3 linked regions of the Saccharomyces cerevisiae S288C genome follow. The gene in region 3 interacts genetically with the main gene of each other region. Each region holds a gene or a part of one and is shown on either strand. Other genes may lie near its edges.

Region 1 (2,645 bases), on a different chromosome or scaffold from region 3:
TGTTGATCTGCCCCAGTCATGATATATCTCAGCATGTTATGGATGCGTCTCGTGCTTTAGAAATGGAAAATTTTAACTTCAGCTACTCCTTGCAAGACGGACAAAGGAATTTAACTAAACAATACTTGAAGGTACCAGAGAGTGAAAAAATGTTCCTGATATCGCCCCCAGCATCACCACCTCCCGAATTCGATTTCAGCAAATGTGAGGATGCGCCACAAAGGCATATACAAAGTCATATACAACAGGACCAGCAGCAGCGGTTGGAAGCTAGCCAACTATTGCCTAATAATCCAGACAAAAATAACAATGGTACTTTCACGTTATTGAAATCAAAGGTGGGCGCAATTACCATTGATAGATGTCCCACGAACGATGGAAATGGACAGATGCAATTAGCGGACCACGTTAAAACCGCTTTCCCACCAAAATCTATATTCGATACTGATGACGATGATTAAGATGGCGAGGCGATTTGTTGGCTTAAGAGACTTAAATGCTTACGGGTGGTTGCTTTAAAATATAAAATATATATGACCTAAGTAAATATGGTTTTTTCTCAGGACCGGATTATTCATCGTCACTATCTACCAAGGCGCCTCTGCCTCTTTTAACTTGGCCTATCCTCTCCTCGTCCGAGTCTACCTCCTCTTCATCAGAATCTATTTCGCCATCATTTTGCGTTTTAGCATCTTGCTCTGAATCACTTTCGTAATCACTATCAGAACCTTCGTCACCATCATCTGTGTCACTTCCACGGCCAGAATTGACTTCTTCGACGGCGTCAAACCAATCACTATATACATCAACAGGCTGTGATAATGAATTTATGCGCGTTTGGAACGACTGCCCACAAATCTTGCACGATAAAGTTCCTATACTATTTTTTTTGTCCAGAGTGCATGAAACTGATTTTTCATGATTACAAAATAAACAATTGAATTTCGTATCTAATTTTTGGACCAGTCTCTTGGTAGGCTTTCTTGTTGACTTCTTTCTTTTACCCATGGCTCGTTAATTGTTTTCAGTGTTTTTTATGACATTCTTCTTCATAATTCTCCCCATCTTTATTACTATTCCTTTTCCAATTATTTGTAGATTATTGCTTTACCAAAGTTTAATCATTTTAAACGTTTTTGTTTCTTCCGTTTTCAGAATTTTTACAATTTGTCACCGAAATAGCAGTTTTTGTTTAATTTTAACGCTATGGGGTAAAAATTTTGGGCCCAATTTCAACTGAAAGAAGAGATATTTTAAATATGATAAGATAATCTTATAACTACGAATTTATTATTTTGTACGTGTCATAATAAATAAGGAAGTGCCTGAAGAGCGTTAAGTAACTTTGGAATCTTCGTTATGAAAACATTGGCTATTTGTTTCAGAAAAAAGCCGTTTAAGTACTTAAAAGAATAGTTATGTTTATATAGGTATGGTGACGAGGCTCTACATAGGACTAATAATGGTGATTTCCCGTCCAGTTTGGTTTACCCTCGTACCATCAAAAGCCTACAAATTCACAGGAAAATCGAAAAAAGATCCTTTCAAAGGTATTTTTCGTCGTGGTTTATTTCCAATGTTGTCATCTTTTTGTCTAACATCTCTCCCACCGATTTTGTCTCACTAACGCGATGATTTTGAATAGGAATGTAGTTTGAACTGTGAAATCATGACAGAATAAGCATGTTACATATAAATATTGGTTACCGTATTTCTTACGCTAGCATACTTCAAGTGTCTTTTGTACTTCTTAAGTTCTTTTGTTTTTGGATAATGATTTAATGCGACACATTGAAAAGGATAATGAATTCTTGCTGGGAACCTCGAACCAAATATTGTGACCTGGAAATGTTGTGTGCAAGACACCGTGAAATCACGCAATAAGACATATCTATACCGTGACAACTCCAAAAAATCCTAAAAACGGCAATTACGTGCAGAAGAATAACGGAAGTTCAGATAGTGGAGAGAAGAATTTATTCTTGTCCCTAAAATGCCCACCAGAGCAGCACTTCTAGTAAGCACATGCATGCTCCACCGCAAATCATCATATTGACGGTATCACACTATAAAAGAATAAAACATGTTGCAAGGCATAATTACTACCGAATTGCAAAAAATTGAACACCAACTTAGCGTGGTTCTATCAGAGAACGACATATCAATTCCTCACAATGAAAAACTAACTGACTAGAATACTTCCACTTTGGTGCCGCATTTGATGAAACAGCAAATAATACCTACACTTAAGTTGAATGAAGATTTCGTTTTCTTTGAGATAGCTCGAGGACATTCACGAAAGAAAAAATTTTAAAGAACAGTTTATAAGCTCTTTTTTAGAATCCTATTCTGTTTACTTCACTGTTCACTTACTTTCGGTCCCACATCTACAAAACATCTACAACAAGAACGTGGGCGATACAGCAAAAAATCACTTGAAATAACAGAATCAAGTTTCTTATCCGATTTCCTACTTTTGAGCTCCGGCTTATGTTGAAGATGTTACTTTTCTTTGTCTCTAAGTGATCTTTATTTTTCTGGCTCCAGTGAAATTTGGTAATAGCATAGTCACTTCAACTAAAGTCTGATAGTAATACTTGCAAATATTGCAAAACTTGGAAGAATGTTAATGAATCATTTCTTGC
Region 2 (4,686 bases), 510 kb from region 3:
GTCGCAAGAAAGAACTTTTATATTTACGACCTTTTCACAGAGCTCATCGATAATTTTTATAATAGTATATTACCCGAAAATCTTCCTTTATGTGCGGGATGTATAGATTATTGAAATGTCTTTTCCGTAGTACTACAGCAAAAATGCAATAATACATATCAGATATACACATATATACATGAATGTTCTGAAAGTTTAATCTCTTTCAAAACAGACAGCAAAGAAACCAATACCACCGTCACTTTTTGGTAGTGCCCTGATACAACCCTCGGCAAGCTGTTGAGGGTCATAGGTGACTCCATCTCTAAAAACCTCTTCGAACTCTTCTACCTTGCCTCTTCTAGGCCAAGAAGGAATAACTTCTCTTTTTGGCGCTACTTTCCAACCCCATTCTCTAACTGACTTATCTAAAAGAAGGTCTATGACGACTCGTTCATTTTCTTCCGCATGAATGGAACATGTGCTGTATACTATTTTTTTAGCCGCTGGGAAACTCATTGCATGCTTTACCATCTGGAACTGAAATGAACTCAGCTTCGCTAACCTTGTCTGTAGTTCTTCCTTTGCTATAAACTCCTCTTGCTCATCCGGCACAATGCCACCATCGTCATCTTTATCATCAATTTTCCTTCTATTAAATGAGTCAAAAAACTTACGACCAAATATACCGCTACCGGAGCAGCTCGGATCTACAATAAAACAAGTAACGTCCTTATATTTTTCAGGAGTAGCGAGCTTTGTAAAATCACCTACATTGACACTGATGTTGGGAGAACAGCCAGCTATCTTGATCATTTTTTGTAAAACTTTTGCTCTTTCAGGATCCTTCTCGAAAGCGTATATTCGAGTATTATTGTCCTTCGGTGGTTCGGGATATATATAAGAGGCCGTATGGGTAGTCTTATTACCTGGAGCAGAGCAGGAATCTATCACAATATCACTTGGTCCTGGATTCAAAATGTGGGCTGGAAAACAAGAAGCACGATCTTGAATGATAATCTTCCCATGCTTATAAAGCTCATGTGCTGTAATTTTGTCAGACGGATGAATTCCAAACAAGTTTGGAATAAACTCATCATAATAGATAGACCCAGGAACTAGTTCAGACCATTTGTCTACCTTTAAAGTAAACTTCTTCCTCAATTCGGCTAACACCGGCTCAGTCTCACCATTTGGATGGCATTTTAATGGATTGATTCTAATCCATCTAACAGGAGGAAGGTCATTGGAAATATCCTCGCTTAATACCAACTCAGATAGCTCTCTTACTTTCAATTTGAGTTTCAATTTGACCATTTCGCTATGCAATGGGCTCTTAAACTTCAAAACATAATCTTTGATGGGGTGTTTGCCCATTTGAATTCTTTTCTGCTTAGACAACAGCAAATCATGGCAAAGCAATAACAAAGTTAGCCTTGAAAAGAGTGGTTTGCCCTTTTTCTTGGGTATATCTTCCAATATGTGTGCCTTTTTCATCACTTTCTCCAAATATGGTTTATATTTCCAACACGAATCGAGAACTGCATAAATATGTTTTGGATTACTTTTCAGCTTATATCTTTTACAGCTTTTCAGTACCAGCGTCTGCATAGAGCCGGAAATCCTTTCTTTTGCAGCCTCCTTCTCAATATCTTCTAGCACCCATGTTGCATCCCTGTAGAAATTCATGCTTTTTCGTAGCTAACTTCTCAGTGAAACACTTGGTGAAGAACCAGCTCTTCTCTTAACCTCATCGAATATTTTAGGCCAGTTTTTTTTTTCCTCACTTGCCATTTTCCCGCACCGTTTGGAAATCTCGAGGAAAATGCTTCTTTCCAAAAGTTTAATCAGGTCACTAATTAGGTAAATAGAGCTGGGAGGAAGCATATACAGTGTTTCGTCTGTGGAAGGAACTTTTATTTTTCTTAAATGTTTTAATTTTTAGTGACCTAATTCACATAACAAAATATTGAGAAAGGGAAAGTTGAGCACTGTAATACGCCGAACAGATTAAGCATGGATTCTGTAATGGTTAAGAAAGAAGTACTGGAAAATCCAGACCATGATTTAAAAAGAAAGCTAGAAGAGAACAAAGAAGAAGAGAATAGCCTCTCTACTACTTCTAAAAGTAAAAGGCAGGTTATTGTTCCCGTTTGCATGCCAAAAATCCATTATTCACCGCTGAAAACTGGTCTTTGCTATGACGTTAGAATGAGGTATCATGCAAAGATTTTCACATCGTACTTCGAGTACATTGATCCACATCCAGAGGACCCAAGAAGAATATATCGTATTTATAAAATACTAGCAGAGAATGGTCTGATTAACGACCCCACTTTAAGCGGCGTGGATGACCTTGGTGATTTAATGCTGAAGATACCTGTAAGAGCCGCAACCTCCGAAGAAATCTTGGAAGTTCATACAAAGGAACATTTAGAGTTTATTGAAAGCACAGAAAAAATGAGCCGAGAAGAGTTATTAAAAGAGACTGAAAAAGGTGATTCCGTATATTTCAATAATGATTCTTACGCGAGTGCTAGGCTGCCTTGTGGTGGCGCCATTGAAGCATGCAAGGCGGTTGTCGAGGGGCGTGTAAAAAACTCTCTAGCTGTCGTAAGACCACCTGGCCATCATGCAGAGCCTCAAGCTGCGGGTGGTTTTTGTCTCTTCAGTAATGTTGCTGTTGCTGCCAAGAATATCTTAAAGAACTACCCAGAAAGTGTAAGAAGGATAATGATTTTAGATTGGGATATTCATCATGGTAATGGCACACAAAAGTCATTCTATCAAGACGATCAGGTGCTATATGTGTCATTACACAGATTTGAAATGGGTAAATACTATCCTGGGACCATCCAAGGACAATATGATCAAACTGGTGAGGGTAAGGGTGAAGGATTCAATTGTAATATTACTTGGCCGGTCGGCGGTGTTGGTGATGCAGAATATATGTGGGCATTTGAACAGGTAGTTATGCCTATGGGGAGAGAATTCAAGCCTGACTTGGTGATTATTTCTTCAGGGTTTGATGCCGCGGATGGTGATACTATCGGACAATGTCATGTCACCCCAAGTTGTTATGGACACATGACACATATGTTAAAATCTCTAGCTAGAGGTAATCTTTGTGTAGTTTTGGAAGGTGGATATAACTTGGATGCGATTGCAAGAAGCGCTTTGAGTGTAGCAAAAGTACTAATAGGGGAGCCTCCTGATGAACTACCTGATCCATTAAGTGATCCCAAGCCTGAGGTCATAGAAATGATAGACAAAGTAATTCGGTTACAGTCCAAGTATTGGAACTGTTTTAGAAGGAGACATGCTAACTCCGGTTGTAATTTTAACGAACCTATTAACGACTCGATAATATCTAAAAATTTTCCTCTGCAGAAGGCTATTCGTCAACAACAGCAACACTATTTAAGCGACGAATTTAATTTCGTTACTTTACCGTTAGTAAGCATGGATTTACCAGATAATACAGTGCTATGTACTCCAAACATTTCCGAATCTAACACTATAATTATAGTCGTTCATGATACTTCTGATATCTGGGCAAAGAGAAATGTTATTTCAGGTACAATTGACTTATCCTCATCAGTTATCATTGATAATTCTCTAGACTTTATCAAATGGGGACTTGACAGGAAATACGGCATCATTGATGTAAATATACCTCTAACTCTGTTTGAACCTGACAATTACTCAGGAATGATTACATCCCAAGAAGTTCTAATATATTTATGGGATAACTACATCAAGTATTTTCCTTCTGTTGCCAAAATTGCTTTTATTGGAATAGGAGACTCATACTCAGGTATCGTACATCTGCTTGGTCACAGGGATACTAGGGCTGTTACTAAAACGGTAATTAATTTCTTGGGAGACAAGCAGTTAAAGCCACTAGTTCCTCTAGTAGATGAAACATTGAGTGAATGGTACTTCAAAAACTCACTTATATTTTCAAACAATAGCCACCAATGCTGGAAAGAAAATGAAAGCAGAAAACCAAGAAAAAAATTCGGTAGAGTTTTGAGATGTGATACGGACGGGTTAAACAATATAATTGAAGAAAGATTTGAAGAGGCTACAGACTTTATACTGGATTCGTTTGAAGAATGGAGTGATGAAGAATGAGGAAAAACTGGCCATTAATAATTTTTTTTCGGCAACCTTCATGCCTTATGAAAGTTGAATAATAATAAAGTTGTTACAATGTTCATTGTATAATCCAATATATCTAAAATAGGAAAAAGAAATGAACAAATGCATTAAGCTGTGTTTTACTAAGTATTATGGGAAAACGTATACATTAAAGTGGATGCTTACATATATAACACATTGTAATAAAGGTTCTTTGAACATGTTACCAGCCTCTTCAGAGATCGATCCGGTTCTGTTGAGCCAAATACTCACTTATCCAAGGATAACTTTCGTCCCGCGAGGAGCAGTGGTTTTGGAGGAGGTTTAGGCTTTAAATGTGAAGGCTTAGGTGGTGGGGTAGGTTTTGTTTTTTTGTCTTTTGAAATCGGGCCACTTGATTTCAGCATTGTTGGCTTATCTATCTCCCCTTTCTCATGCAGCTTGACCTTGGACATTTTCCTAGCGTTGAATGACTCCTCAGAAGAGTTGAGTTTATCGATCATACGCTGTTGAATGGAGTTCTTCAAATTCTGCTTAGATACGTCCAAATCTTCATAAGATGGT
Region 3 (3,881 bases):
CGATATTGTCAACTTTAACAAATTCCAGAGACTCTAAGAAATTTGAAAACAAAATCAAGGCGTATATTGAAAAAATCATAGTGCGGTTATCAGATGAAGTACCATCCACATATTTTTTCCAAGATGGCGTAGATTGTATTATTCAACCAAGTCCGATTCATAATTTCAAGAGAATGCATTGGTTAAGATACACCAAGAGGCACAATACCTTTTGGGGGAGGACTATACATAAGGACGTTCAAGTCAGCTTCAATGACAAGTATGTTGTTACTAGGAGCGGCGTGAGGTATACGAGGTATCCCACTAATTTGAATACACAATTATTGGAAACTGCATTTGAAGAATGGGACTACTATGAGTGATTTTGCATTGAGTACTTATCCACTGCTCTATTATGTGACATATTCGCAATTCGTGTAAATATTATGCATATGCATCTTGAGCATGCATGGAATATATAAATATGTAGGTTTGTTGTAATACTGTTTCTGCTGTGTCCTTCAAATATGGCCTATATGGTCGCTGGTAAAAGTGGCAGAGCTATTGTTATTGCCTTCACTGCCAACTTCATATTCATCGTCATCTTCATCTTCCGCGTTCTCATCGTCATCTTCATCTGAATTGAAAACGACATCCTTTGTCGAATAAATGTATATGCCTGGTTTGTCTAATCCCAACCGTTTCCTGACCATGGCCTTTCTCTGTTTGGTTTTTTCATTTTTCGAGCTGCTGCTATTATTGTGGCCTACGCTTTTCTGGACGATTTGGTCTGTAAAGTATAAAATTTTATCACGCGCATAGCCTAATTTCTTCAGCGCTACATCTTTATAAGTTCCCCTATCATTGAAATGCATTCGATCAATGCTTCTGCCCACTGATATCTGATCTTCTGGGTCGTAGCGTGATATGGTCTGTAAATCACATACTTCCGAATTACTTGACGTATCGTGCCGATCCGTTGATGCGTCCTGAGATTCCCTCCTGGTTAAAGCGTTTTGAACCCTTAAGGCGTACTTGGCAAACCGATAGTCTTGTTGCTCTTCCTCGAAGATAGGTCTTCCCAAAATGCTTTGCGCTTCCTCTTTTCTTTCCAAAACATTTAATCTATCCAGCCACTCCCATGTGATCACGGTCGAAGTGACATAGCATGTCGTGTTAAACACTTCACCCAGTTCCGATATCCATAAGTTCGACACATCGGCAAGGAAGAAACCCGGTAATAGAAGCACCACAAGAATAGTCAATAGCGTAAGTAAACCCATTTGATTGAATTTAAACCACAATTTTTTTTTCTGCCAGATGTGATAAATGACGATTGATGCATATGACGTGGCGATGGCAATACGGAAAAGGTAAACAAATGGCCGCAGAATCTGCCAGTCATTTCTGTGTTTTGTAGTATGGTTAGCAAACGGTGGAATTACCCATAAAATATTTGCGGTTATTGTTAATATCACCCCAATAAAAAAAATTATTCTCTTTTCCTGAGCTCTTTGAAATAGCCTAATGACAATGCCGACTTGGCAAAATTGGAACATTAAAGTAGCCAAGAAATCCAAGACAACAAATGTCATATCATCGGAAAAGATGTGCATAATGGAATGAGCCCGAACGACACCATAGACATTGTGCTCTTTTTCCAATCTCCGCAACACCTTCGTGATAAAAATCGTTAAGTTCAACGAGGCTAACAACGAGGCTATCCTCAGTAGTTGTAGAATTCTCTTATATGCGCGCCCGCTGATATTTATACAGCATATCACAGTCAGGAACACTGTGATGACAAAATTAGAAGTTATCGACAAAATCACAGCATAAATCGCATACTCAGCAGAACCGCCGACATAATCGCTTACTTGAATGAATTTTTGCCAGTCATTGATCACCTCATCAAGATACCTATATGGGGAAGAGTTTCTTAGCACCGTAGATACATAAACGGGCACTCTTTCACAGCAGAAACTCCTAAAAGTAATATCTTCTGCATATACTGCCGAATTGTCATAAAGAGGCAATTGTATCAGCACCCCTGAACCTAGCTTCATTGGATGACAGCTATTGTAAGCAGCCAATTCTTCTGGACTATGTCTCCACAAGTTCATGTTTGCAGAATCGACTATTCATCGAGTGTCTTCCTCCTTATGTGCTACTAAAAACGATAGTCTAAAATGACTGATTAAGTGCGCACAGGAAAGAAGAAAACAGGTAAAGGACACCGAATCTGTAGTACCAGTCTTTTGTCTTTCTTGTAACTAAACGATGTGGGTTGCTCTTCTAAAGTACTTATCTTTACTCGCCGATACAACGGGTTCCATCTTCTCTTTCAATAGCTGCTATTTTTCTGTTCGGGCAGTATCAGAATTAACAGGATCAAACCTCGTTTATGTCACGTAGAAAGAAAGTAGCTAAAAATAGCTAAAGGGACATCTAGAAGCTTTGTAGGAGTCAAAGAGTTGCGCACCCAGAACCATTGTAATTAGCATGCAGAACGATCAACAGAGGTTCTCCCTGCAAAATAGGACGGTACTGGCGCATCCATACAAAAGGCTAGGAGGGGCATTTACGGTGAAATCACCGTCTGTTCCTAACTTTCATGATAAAATGCATTCAGATCATAGTTCTAGCGACTCAGCTCTGGTGAACGGAAGCTTTAGAGCGAATGATCATCGCTCTGTGGAACCAAGTTGTTTGGGCCAAGCATCCCCCTCTGAACATGATGGGAATTTAAGCGTTATTGACCTGTATGGAGACGAAGTGGAATCCCAACGTGCCGAAGGAGAGGATGATGATGATAATAATGGCGATAATGGTAACGAAGATCTGGAGGAAGTGCACAGTGATGACCTCGATTTGGTTCCTGATGATGACAACCGTCAGCGTGTAGAATTGGAGGGTGCCGCTAGTGCCACAAGTGCGAATTCCAATGGAATCAACAATACCCATTTTGATCGATACGGTTTCAAAAAACAGAATAATTACATATCTGAAGCAGAATACGATAAGTGGTGGGTAGAATATTCGCAGTACTGCGTTCGCCGTAAGCACAAATGGCAATTGCTGTTGGAGAAAAGTGGGTTGCCAGTGACCGATGATTCTCCTTCACGATTTCCATCAAAGAGTGAACGGTTAAAAAGGTATGTCAGAAAGGGCATTCCAGCGGAATGGAGAGGAAATGCATGGTGGCATTTCGCTAGAGGGCAAGAGAAGTTAAACAAGAATAAAGGCGTCTATTCACAACTTTTACGAAAGATGAAGCAGATCAAGAAACAAAACCCTAATGAAAAACAAGTTCAAGACTTGGATATTATTGAACGTGACTTGAATAGAACATTTCCGGACAATATACATTTCCAAAGTAGCTTGCATAACAAAGAGGGACCTCCGATTATAAAATCTTTACGCCGGGTGCTTGTTGCGTTCTCTCTCTACAATCCGAAGATTGGCTATTGTCAATCTATGAACTTTCTTGCAGGCTTGCTATTGTTATTTTTAGACGAGGAAAGGGCCTTTTGGATGCTAGTGATTATTACTTCAAGATACCTACCGGGGGTGCATAATATCAATCTAGAAGGTGTTAACATCGACCAAGGGGTACTGATGCTATGTGTCAAAGAATATATTCCAGAAGTTTGGTCGTACATTAAGCCTTCCATTGACCACCACCAAAAAAATAACAAAACTTTTTCTCCGTCAAATAAAAAAGTTTTATTCAATATGCAAAAGAATGAGTTCTTGTACAGACTTCCGCCCATTACTTTGTGCACGGCGAGCTGGTTCATGAGTTGCTTTGTCGGTGTAGTGCCGATAGAGACCACGCTTAGAATATGGGATTGTCTGTTTTACGAGGAATCACATTTTCTATTCAAAGTTTCGTTGGCTGT

The links.
Region 1: mutations in RIM21 (region 3) and ELF1 together harm fitness more than expected from each alone (negative genetic interaction), as found in Saccharomyces cerevisiae (3 studies listed by BioGRID).
Region 2: mutations in RIM21 (region 3) and HDA1 together harm fitness more than expected from each alone (negative genetic interaction), as found in Saccharomyces cerevisiae (3 studies listed by BioGRID, with this or other methods).

Annotation. Positions count from the first base shown.
Region 1 is NC_001143.9:151,632-154,276, reverse strand, and holds ELF1 (Elf1p), read right to left. Parts: upstream 1,009-2,645; coding exon 571-1,008; downstream 1-570. Other genes in the region: RCN1 (Rcn1p), read left to right, coding at 1-461. UniProt on the Saccharomyces cerevisiae protein: Transcription elongation factor implicated in the maintenance of proper chromatin structure in actively transcribed regions.
Region 2 is NC_001146.8:591,232-595,917, forward strand, and holds HDA1 (histone deacetylase HDA1), read left to right. Parts: upstream 1-1,995; coding exon 1,996-4,116; downstream 4,117-4,686. Other genes in the region: rRNA (cytosine-C5-)-methyltransferase RCM1, read right to left, coding at 196-1,668; serine/threonine protein kinase ARK1, read right to left, coding at 4,392-4,686. UniProt on the Saccharomyces cerevisiae protein: Responsible for the deacetylation of lysine residues on the N-terminal part of the core histones (H2A, H2B, H3 and H4).
Region 3 is NC_001146.8:78,159-82,039, forward strand, and holds RIM21 (Rim21p), read right to left. Parts: upstream 2,103-3,881; coding exon 501-2,102; downstream 1-500. Other genes in the region: MRX6 (Mrx6p), read left to right, coding at 1-362; Rab GTPase-activating protein MSB3, read left to right, coding at 2,482-3,881. UniProt on the Saccharomyces cerevisiae protein: Required for the proteolytic cleavage of the transcription factor RIM101 in response to alkaline ambient pH. Required for growth at alkaline pH.